3 linked regions of the Danio rerio genome follow. The main gene of each other region encodes a partner of the protein of the gene in region 3 in a complex. Links are inferred from orthologs where the notes say so. Each region holds a gene or a part of one and is shown on either strand. Other genes may lie near its edges.

Region 1 (3,760 bases), on a different chromosome or scaffold from region 3:
TTCGGCTTGCCCAGTTAACATATCTCCTTCTGTCTTGTAATTTCTGCTTTGTTTCCTCCACGGTTTCATACTCAGGAGCATAGCAGACATGCAGCTGACCCCCGAAGAAGCTCTTTTCATCTGTGTGCCTTTTAGCTGCCCTGTAAAAAAATAAATTAATTAATTAATTTAAAAAAAAAAAAAAATTATATATATATATATATATATATATATATATATATATATATATATATATATATATATATATATATATATATATATATAGCATGGCAATATCCACTCACTGGCCATTTTGCTAGGTACACCTGTCCAACTGCTCGTAAACACCAATTTCTATGCAGCCAATTACATGAAAGCAACTCAATTCATTTATGCATGTACATGGTCGAGACAATCTGCTCCAGTTCAAACATGAAAGCATGGATCCATCCTATCTGCTCAATGACATGCTATCATGTCAATATGGACCAAAATTAATGAGGAATATTTCCAGCTCCTTGTTAAATCCATGCCAGAAAGGATAAAAGCAGTTCTGAGGTCAAACCCGGTACTAGTAAGGTGTACCTAATAAAGTGGCCGGTGAGTGGATGTCATTCAGTGTAACAATAGTTTATAAGAAAAACAATTTTTGTCAGGCATATTTTTAAAAATCCCAGTACAGCTATTTTTACTTTGACACTATCCTAAAAATATATAGTTTTATTAAAATATAATTAAAATAACTACGATTACTTAATTCCATATATTTGAAATAATTATTCTTTGATTTTTGCTTTGGTTTAGAGGGGAAAAAATATGTAAAAAAGTATTTATAGAATTATCAGCAATAAATACTCTTTATAATATTCTTAAAATGTTTAATGGCAGTAAAGAGATTTACAGTGTTATTAAAGAGAAAGAGACACTAAAGAACATTAAAGAATCTTGAACAAAAAAAAAAAAAACCCTTAGATGTTTTGGATGTTAAGTTGTGCAACTTTACAACATTGATAATAATTAGAAATTATATACTGCACAACAAATCAGCAAATTAATTATTTCCGAAGAGTCATGTGACAATAACCATGTATAAATGCGAGTACCAAGCATGAAAATTACCCTTCATCCTCAACACAATACATTACACTTTTAAACAAGATAGAAAATGTGACAATGTAATAATACATCCGATTGTTGATGCTTTGTTTTTAGTTAAAAAAATATTAGCTGACTTGGTGAGCATAAGATGCTTCTTTCAAAATCATTTTCAAAATGGAAGACTCCAAACAATTGTATGGTAGTGTGTGTACTGTATATAGTTTTCTATATGTGTTTATTTAATATTTTAATAATGAATCATAATGTTTTAAGTCACATTTTGTGGAACCTACAAAGACAGTTCACTCCAAAATAAAAATAGACATCATTTACTCACCCGTTACATGTCACAAACATCGTCTGAGCTGAACACAAACGATATTTTAAAGAAAGCTTGAAGCCGGTAACCATTGACTTCAATACTATTTATTTGTCCTACTATGCAAGTTGATGGTTACTGGATTCCAGATTTCAAAATATCTTCCTTTGTGTTTCAAACCACTTGAGGGTGAATAAATTGTTATTGTTACAGTATTTGAGTCAACTATCCCTTTAACTAAAAGTGAATGCGACTCTGCAGTGCACCAACATGGTACATTGAGGTAAGGATGGTTTTAGATTCACACATTCTTTCAATGACAACTTGTGACATGCTCCCTATATTGTTTACCATGGTACTTTTAATATTGGGTTTGAAATCACATGCAAGTATGACTTCAAATCAGCATTACCACTATTTATTTGACTGTGAACAATGTTGAACTTTGATAGTCACTAGCTGCTAATTTGATTCACTATTAAGAATATGCAAAGAATACTTTTCTGAAATTATATCATCAACAAGAAAAATATGGCACAATATATAATATATGGCACAGACTCGCATGGGACATGATTTAATCAGCCTTTTCTTACCGTGCACTCGTCAACTTCTGGAACTGAATTAAGTAAACCTCAGTGAACTCTTCTGCTGGGTATTCATCCAGTGGCCTGTACTCCTCGATCACTCCATACAGAGCAAACAGCTGCACCAGCTCAGCCATCACTCCAATAGCGGGCACTCCTTGAACTAGTAAATACCGAGACTCCAGGTTGATGGTGTACACCTAAAATTAGCGATTCAGCCATTATTTTTATAAGCAGAGATTCAGTTCTTGTGAGAGAGACCTTAAAGACAACATGACTGCTTACATTGACGCTGCACAATTCGATGAGATAAAGGCATTTATAAAATAAACCGACCTTAACAGCTTTGAGGCGTCTTCCTTCTCTGTATTTTGGTCGCGTTTGGGCAACATTTTGCTGCTCGTGATGTTTATACACTTTTTGTGTGTCCCACACAGAGGAACTAGCAACTGACCCGTCCATCACTGTGGAAATCAGCGACGAAAAAAAACAGGCTTTCAAAATAAAAGTTCCAATTAGAAAAAATAAATAAAAGCCCGCTTTCCCAAAAGGATGCTAATAAAAATAATATTAAGAAGAATAATGATGATGGTGATAAAAAAATATTATAATGATAATGACGATGATAATTATAATAATAATTCATTTACACATCCAAATTATGATAAACACTTCTAACAAAATAAAATAAATATCAAAAAGATTTGGACAAAAGTCAAAATTGTAAGATGCTAACTCGCAGAAAATGTCGCAACTATTATAAATGCAGACGAATTAATTATAAACTATATTATAAATTTATTTTAAGTTTTTAACGTTTAAAACAAGCTTCTTTTTTTACCCATTTAAAGGGTTAGTTCACTCAAAACCGAAAATTCTGTCATTATTTACTAGGTTGTTGACTTGTTCCAAACCATTTTGATTTACTTTCTTCTTAACACAAATTAGGATTTTTAAAAATACATATAATACAAAACTTCCATATAATTATTTTCAGCATTCTTCAAAACATCTCTTGTGTTCAGCAGAATAAAGAAACTCAGAAAAGCTTGGAACCACCTGAACCTCTGAGTAAATAGTGAGCCCATTTGATTTTTTGGGGTGAACTCAATATATTACTATAAATTACTAGTAGGCCTATTTAATGTGGGAGATCATTATAAAAATTATTAGAAAATTAAGCAAATATATACTATTCAGTTGCTGGAGTAAAAGATTAACAGTGTTTTACATTTATTAAATGTAAAAAGATTTGTACATTACATTGATATAATGATGTAGGCTATTAGCCTATCCTGTACATTAGCTATATTTCATTCATTATGCATCCATTAAATAAATTAAACCTGTCCAAATTAGATCGTTTAAAATGTTTGAGCAAACGAGAATCTGCTATGTTGACTTTGTCAGATAAATAATGACTGATCATCTATGATGACTGATGGAAAACTGTTCAGTGTATTATATTGAATGGTGATTATTCCCCATTCGCCCGTCTTGATCGCTATATTTGTGAAATGGTATGCCTATGCATTATTGTTTACAGTGTTTGCCTATACAATACATATTAACAATAACCTTATGTGTAAAATATATTGATGATGTCCGAGAAGAGGTTAATAACATTAACACCCGTCTAACTTAGATCGTGTGTGCCTGAAACGTGTGTATATCTGCAGCTGGATAAGTTTTAACCCCAAAACACACACATATTAAATAAATGAATAACGTATACATACATTTTGCGGGGCTACTCATATTTCATTTAATAAATATT
Region 2 (3,760 bases), on a different chromosome or scaffold from region 3:
GAAATGGTATTAGCGCCGTTTAATGCGGCGTTTTAATTGTAAACGCGATTGATTAATAGTGTTTTTATGAGCTCTTGGGCTTGCCATAAGATGATGATGTGCGCGCGCGGGACTTGTTTTCTCGCGCTGGATCAGTTGAGCGCGCGCGTGAAGATCCCCTGTGCGCTTGCAGCTGTAGTTTTCTCGCGTGTCTGTAATCTGCTCACGGTTCACTTCTCCTCGCGCGCAAACATCACCGCTGCGCTCGATTTATATTGGCATTGATTTGCCGACATAAGACGAGTCGGACATGATATTTAAGATCCCACATGAAATTTAAGACCTCCTTATGGAAAATTACAGAATTCAAGACATTTTCAGACCTTAAAAATCGAAAATTTTATTTAAGACATTTTAAGACTTTTTAAGGACCCGCGGGGACCCTGTAAAATACATCATTGAACGTTTTTATTGAAATAATATTAATATATATTAGAGCTGCACAATATATCACTTCTTGAGCAATGATATTGAAATGTGTGCATCTGCATTAGTTACATCGCAAGATAGGCGATAGTTAGGATTATAGATGACCACCAGAAACCACTAGTCAAAACACACAAGATTTGTGGAGACACTGCAGAATTTAAGCACAATAGAGTGAAAGTTTATCATCACTTTAAGGCATGTGGCTGAGCATTTGAAGAGAGTTTAAAACATTAGTAGTGCATGAAAATGTTTAATAAAGATTAATTTTATTAAAATTTGTGTATGGTGAAGACTACACAGTGCTATTTTACATTTGATTATTCGATTTCAGTACCTGAATCAGGGTTTCTGCAGGTTATACAGTTAAATTTAATTGTTTATAAAACCTTTATTAATTACATTTTAGACCCATAAAGTGCTAAAAGCTAAGGAATTTTTCAAATAGCCCTGATGGAAAAGATTTTTATTTGCCCTATCAAAAACATTATTATATTTTAATACATTTAATAATACAATAATAATAAAAAAATATATATATTTCCGATTTTATTTCTTAGCAAAATATTGTGTAAAAACAAGCAAGCTCTAATTGTATCTATACACTTTTTTCCTCAACATAAACTTTCTTTAAAATAAAAAAAAGAACAAATATTTTAAAACTTTTAAAAACTACAATAAACTAAATCTATGCACAACAATCTCTCCTGTTCAGTGTCCTCAGTAGTAAATACATGGAGAACTTTTAAACACATGTTATTGTATGGAAAATAATTAAACCATTATGGTAAATAGATTAAAAATTACCTTTTTAAATAAAAAGTTTAAGGTTTTGTTGAGAGGATTGTTGGTGATTGTATGGGTGTTAATGGCCAGACTGGGTAGCAACACATGACTTTAAAAAAAAAAAAAAAGAATCAAGACCTACACAATACAATATTTCAGTCAAATTAATACTTTTTAATGGCCAAATTTTGGATTTTGACATTTAAGACACTGTGGAAACCCAACTGAGTACTGTTAGACTCTCAAGAAACCCATTAAGGACGGTTTATTTCACTTTAATAATTACGTTACCCAATTGTGTGTGTGACTAGTTTGTATAAGAAACTACATTAAAATGTATATTTAAATTTCACTCCCCTACAAAACCACTTTTCAAATATTTAATTACTTAATTACAAAAAAGAAAATATCGCAATGTATAGTTTTTTCAATATCGTGCAGCCCTAATATTGAGCTATAATTCATATTTTAACTGGAAAGAGAAACATCTAACGTTATTAAAAGATTACTCACGTGAAAGCTTCTTGTCCATAAACCTAAGAGGGGAAAAGGCACTTTCTTAATTCACAATAGATACACCACCAAACTGAAAGCTAACTCATATAAAATATATCAAAATGGATTAGCAATATAAGTTATGCTTGATGTGAAAATAAAGTAATTTAGCCGTTAAACTGAACACACACCGGCTAACGTTAATAAGTTGCCCATGTTAAATACTTCTTAATATCAAATTTCTAAAAAACTCAAGAAAATACTTGAAATACTTACTTTTTCAGCTCGGGTGGATGTGCTTTGCTCATGTTTATTTAGTGAGATATGCTAGTTTTGTCAAACAAATACGTTTGAATCACGTTTCAAGCGTTGTTCGGAGAATGAGTGAAATGCAGGAAGTGACGTTTTGGGTCGCGGGATTTTTCCCTTGTACTAGCACCATTGAGTAATATTGCCCTCTACTCCGGCGGATGATGAACTACAACAACAACAACATATCGACAAGGTCGCTGGTTCGAGTCTCGGACTCTCGGCTGGGTCAGTTGACATTTCTCTGAGGAATTTGCAAGTTCTCCCCGTGTTCGAGTGGGTGTCCTCCGGTTTCCCTCACAGTCCGAAGACATGTGCTATAGGTGAACTGAATAAACTAAATTGTCTATAGTGTATGAGTGTTTCCCAGTACTGGGTTGCAGCTGGAAGGGCATCTGCTGTGTAAAGCATATGTTGTATAAGTTGGTGGTTCATTCTGCTGTGGCGACCCCTGATGAATAAAGGGACTAAGCCAAAAAGAAAATGAATGAATATTATACAGGCCCATAGCCAGCCTGGTAAAAGGGGTGGTTCTTTTTTCTAAGTAAGTTTACCTTTTTGCAGGTATTTGCCTCATTTTCTATTTAATTATTAGATATACTGCATTTTAGTGATATTTTAAGCACTATCTTTAGCTGAATTAACCTGTCGAATAGTCATCATAACCACAATTTTGATGAATCAAAATATTTCCTAAAATTTTGGAATAAAGAAAAATAAATAAATACATATTTTTAAAAAACAAATGTTACAGCCAATATTAATTAAAAAAAAGGAATCTATTAATGTTTAAATTAAAAACTGTAGCCTATTATAGCGACATTTATTGGGCAAACAACAACTTGGCCAGCTCATTCAACTGTCCTCAGTTAGAATTTGCCCATTTGAATACATATTATTATTAATAATCAAAGGTTCAAAACTGATAAGCTGAAGTCACACCGCAGCAACAGCCAACAGAGGATTACAATTGGTTTTAAGACCCTTTTTGCTTAGTTATTTTTACAATTTATGAAGCATAGCAATTATAATGAGACAAACAAGCTCATATATGGAACAAATGTTGGACCTTTGTTAGTGAGGGGTAGGTCTTTCGAACCCCTCAAAGCCTATTGAGGTAAAGTTAATTTTTATATTCGCACATTCACACTTTCTCCTTAATAATATAATTTCAGAGAAGTATTCACTGCAAATTCTAAATAGTGAAATCATATTAGCAGCCATCAACCATCAAAGTGCAACATTGTTGACAGTCAATTTAATATTGGTAATGTTGCTTTAAAGTCATATTTACATCTGATTTCAGTCCGAAAATTCAAAGTACCACGGTAAACAATATATGGAGCTGTCACTGAACGAATGTGCGAACTTTACCTTAATCCAACCCAACCCCCCGGCTTAGGGCCTGTTATAAATCCAAAACTTACAAGAATATTTTAACCAATTTATTCAAAAATAATTTCAACGTACATAGTAACATGAGGTAAATTTTCTGACAAACATTAGTCAAAAAAAAAAATCAAAAAAAAAATCACACATTTTGGGACAAAGCAGGTGATACTTGAGGTAGCCGCAAGTAAACACAGCCAGAGATTAATGCACAGCTAAACTGAAACATCTATATTCACAATAGAAAAATGAGGTACATTCACTCATCTCATACAATGTGAGCCATAAAGGTACATTTAATACAGTGTTCAAGGAC
Region 3 (3,660 bases):
AGTCCTGTTTTTGAATCTACCACTATGCTGACACATGGGCATTTGTAGCTCCGCCCTCTTCAGAAAAAGAGCACAATCTCATTTGAATTTAAAGCGACAGTCACCAAAACGGCACAATATAATGCTCGGAATCTTCACATAAACACTAGGGACATTAGAGACTTATTTTGTAAAGAAGTGGCATAAATAGGTCTCCTTTAGTATTGATAATAACCATGTTTACAAGATGAGAGCACTTGAGTGCACTTCAAGCTTAATTACCCACAGGAGAGACAATGAATGTGCCGTTGAGACTCGCATTTGCAATCTGTGTGTGCATTCATGAAGTCAAAGTGAATGTAAAGGCTCTTCAGTTTGTAGCATCATTAAATAAAAAAAACGAGTGTAAGAATAATCCCAGATAGTTGAATGTGAACTTATACAGTGCTCAGCATAAATGAGTAACCCCCCCCCCCCCATTTCTCAGTAAATATATATGCACTTTTGGATGCATTGGTAACACTTTACAATAAGGTTGTGTCAGGTAATGCTTTTACTAACATGAACAAACAACGAACAATACATGTGTTAGTGTTCATTGTTCATTCATGTTAACCCACTATGTAATATTAATGTGAACGAGCACGAATGTGGATGTTAATAATGCATTAGTAGATGTTGAACTGTGGTTAATAAATGCTGTACACGTATCATTCATATTTTGTTCATGTTAGTAAATACATTCACTGATGAAACCTTAATGTAAAGTGTGACCGAATGTTTCATTTAACAGTTCAGTCCATTAAAATAATATAATGAAGATACTACATGTAAATTCAAATGAAAGTTATTATTACAAGAACAATTACAAACTGTTACGAAATGTTAAATGTTTCATTTATTTTGAGAGGGTGCTCGCTGCAGAGCCATTTGAGGAGAGCTGAGCTCCAGCGAGGGGGAGCATGAGCTGTCGCTCCTCCTCCTGTAAGCTGTTTTAATGCGTACACCAACCCTACCCCTAACCCTACCCCCAGTGACATCACTCGTAGAAGAAGTGCAAAAAAGGTGGAGCTCAAGCTTAAGCTCCCCCTCGCTGGAGCTCAGCTCTCATCAAATGGCTCTGCAGCGAGCACCACTTGTTTATTTTCCCCAACATATTCATTTGTGTGCTGTAGGGATGGTAGACAGCTTAAACCCAAAGAATGAGCAGTCTGTCAGATGAAGAAGAGCCGGAGTCAGAGATTTAAATAAATAAATCAAGTTTACTGAAGATAGTTTGCAGTTTCATCAGCAGAAGCCAGCTTCAACACTCCAATGAGTTCCTAGGCCGCTCTGCTTAAAATCACCAATCAATAACAATTATATTCTCAAATAAGGCAATTAACTGCGTCACACATATAGGTGCTCTAACCTGATTGGTTAAAACACAGATAGACTTGGAAAATTTTCATGTGGCATTAAGCGTAAACGTCAGACATCCACTAGACCAGTGGTTCTCAATCTTTTTTCATCAAGTACCACCTCAGAAAAAAATTGTCCCTCCAAGTACCACCATATGACCAGTATTGAAATACAGTAGTGTAGTAGGCCTAATTAAGCAGCTACAACTCTGCACAGTTTAAAAACGTGGCAGATGAATTACTATAATTAATAATATTTATTATTTAAACCTTGTAAATAGTTTGAACGTTAACACTGCTGTGCTGATATGTAAAAAAACAAACAAACAAAATAACATGGCAACGTTTAAATTAAAATTAGCTTTTAAAAGTTCGTAAAAAGTGAAAAAAAAAACTCCTGTACTTAAATGGAAAGTGTAAACCTATAATATCCTATTCATCAAAGCCTGGAAATGCTGCTTGGACCTCATAAATATAGGCTATATGTCATCATGTTTATATATGAACCATTTTTGATCATTTTGAAATATATGTTGCATGTACAAATGACTATTGGATTACTCTGCGTACCACTAGAAGGCAGCCCACGTACCACTAGTGGTACACGTACCACAGTTTGAGAACCACTGCACTAGACTGATTAGAGCTGACTCCAGACCTGTGAAACGGATCAACAATCAAGTAGAGCACACACACTTAAAGTACAATCTGTTTGAAAAGTACATCCTGAGTGAAAATATGCTGAATGAGAGTGAACTGCTGAACTGCACTTAAAGTCTAAAGATTAAAAATGAAACGCCTGAAATTACATGAAACTCTGGAGGAAGCGCATGATAGCCTGGTGATGCCAAATTAAATGTTTTATACTGAAACTTTCCTTCTAAAAGTGCTTCCTTGGTCTTATCCAAATTTCTTAGCACGTTAAACGCACGTCGGCCACAAAAAGAAATTAAAAAACTGCAACTGCGTTAATTTTTTTAACGCGTTAAACCAATCACGTGCGTTAACGCACTAATTTTGACAGCCCTAGTTTTGACAATTATTTTATCCAAAAGTCAATATTTATATTTGAAATATGAAATGGAGATGGGTTGAATTCTCTCTGGGTCTGGACTTAGAGAAGTGCTCATATGTAGGCTGTATAAACTCTGTAAATAATCAAACTGTCTCATGATTAAGTTTCTGTCTTTTGTCTCCTGTTATTTCAGAGGATGATGATGATGATGATCTCGCGGAGCTGACTAATATTCACGGATATTCAGATGAAGATGACGAAAACAGTCTGTCTAAAAAAGACGTGAGCTTTACTCTCCGTCATCCATCCAGGTTGCTCTCCTGATCACTTGTGCTGAATTTGTTCTTGTGTACTTGCAGAAAAACCGTAAGCGCAGGAACAGGAAGAAGAAGAAGAAGAAGAAGCAGCGTGAGCAGGAGAAGGAGCAGCAGGACGAGGAGAAGAAGAAAGATGAGAAGGAGCCGGAGGTGGAGATCGAGTACGTGACAGAGGAGCCGGCCATCTATGACCCCAACTTCATCTTCTTCAAGAGGATCTTCGAGGCGTTTAAGGTCAGAAACTGCTTTCATTTAAAAGGTCACGATCCACACTCGTTAAATAATTACTTTATTTCTTTATTTTTTTTTTACAGATTAAGGTTTTTCGATTTTGAGGGAAATCATATTTTGACGACTTTGTGTTTTCTCCATTGTCAATGCTATTTGTTAAATTAGTTAGATTTTATTACACGAGCTGGATTCACTGGTCAGAATGGTGGGAAATCATAAGCATGAATATTTTGGTCGTGATTAAAATCTTGATTATTTAAAATGATTATTATTGAATAACTTTCCCAGAGATGGGTTGCGGCTGGAAGGGCATCCGCTGCGTAAAAAACGTGCTGGATAAGTTGACGGTTCATTCCGCTGTGGCGACCCCGGATTAATAAAGGGACTAAGCCGAAAAGAAAAGGAATGAATTATTGTATAACTAGTTACAATTATTAAATTACAGTAGAATAAAAATATACAAATGAAACAAACTGCTTTAAGCATCTTCACTGTAATTAAATTGATTTGTTTACTTATTTAAAATTAGCTAAAATGACAAATGTCTGGGACAATTTGTTTTGTGTTCAATCTACCTAAATTTGAACTTAAAAGTTAACACCAATAACTTTTTGGAAATCTTGCCCACTATAATAACTTTTTGGACACATGGTGCACTGTAACGCCTTTTTTGATATGTGGCCCACTATAATCACTTTTTGGACATGTGGCCCACTAT

Evidence for each region. Proteins that work in one complex are often made in the same cells at the same time.
Region 1: sf3b2 (region 3) and rbm48 share a complex: the UniProt entries of both Homo sapiens proteins name them as parts of the minor spliceosome. The link is inferred for Danio rerio from reciprocal best matches to the Homo sapiens genes SF3B2 and RBM48.
Region 2: sf3b2 (region 3) and snrpg share a complex: the UniProt entries of both Homo sapiens proteins name them as parts of the minor spliceosome. The link is inferred for Danio rerio from reciprocal best matches to the Homo sapiens genes SF3B2 and SNRPG.

Annotation. Positions count from the first base shown.
Region 1 is NC_133194.1:42,804,636-42,808,395, reverse strand, and holds the start of rbm48 (RNA-binding protein 48), read right to left. Parts: upstream 2,523-3,760; 5' UTR 2,446-2,522; coding exon 2,320-2,445; intron 2,184-2,319; coding exon 1,993-2,183; intron 141-1,992; coding exon 1-140. UniProt on the Homo sapiens protein: As a component of the minor spliceosome, involved in the splicing of U12-type introns in pre-mRNAs.
Region 2 is NC_133198.1:36,914,678-36,918,437, reverse strand, and holds the start of snrpg (small nuclear ribonucleoprotein G), read right to left. Parts: upstream 2,172-3,760; 5' UTR 2,055-2,171; coding exon 2,023-2,054; intron 1,788-2,022; coding exon 1,765-1,787; intron 1-1,764. UniProt on the Homo sapiens protein: Plays a role in pre-mRNA splicing as a core component of the spliceosomal U1, U2, U4 and U5 small nuclear ribonucleoproteins (snRNPs), the building blocks of the spliceosome.
Region 3 is NC_133182.1:6,516,746-6,520,405, forward strand, and holds part of sf3b2 (splicing factor 3B subunit 2), read left to right. Parts: intron 1-2,587; coding exon 2,588-2,676; intron 2,677-2,753; coding exon 2,754-2,945; intron 2,946-3,660. UniProt on the Homo sapiens protein: Component of the 17S U2 SnRNP complex of the spliceosome, a large ribonucleoprotein complex that removes introns from transcribed pre-mRNAs.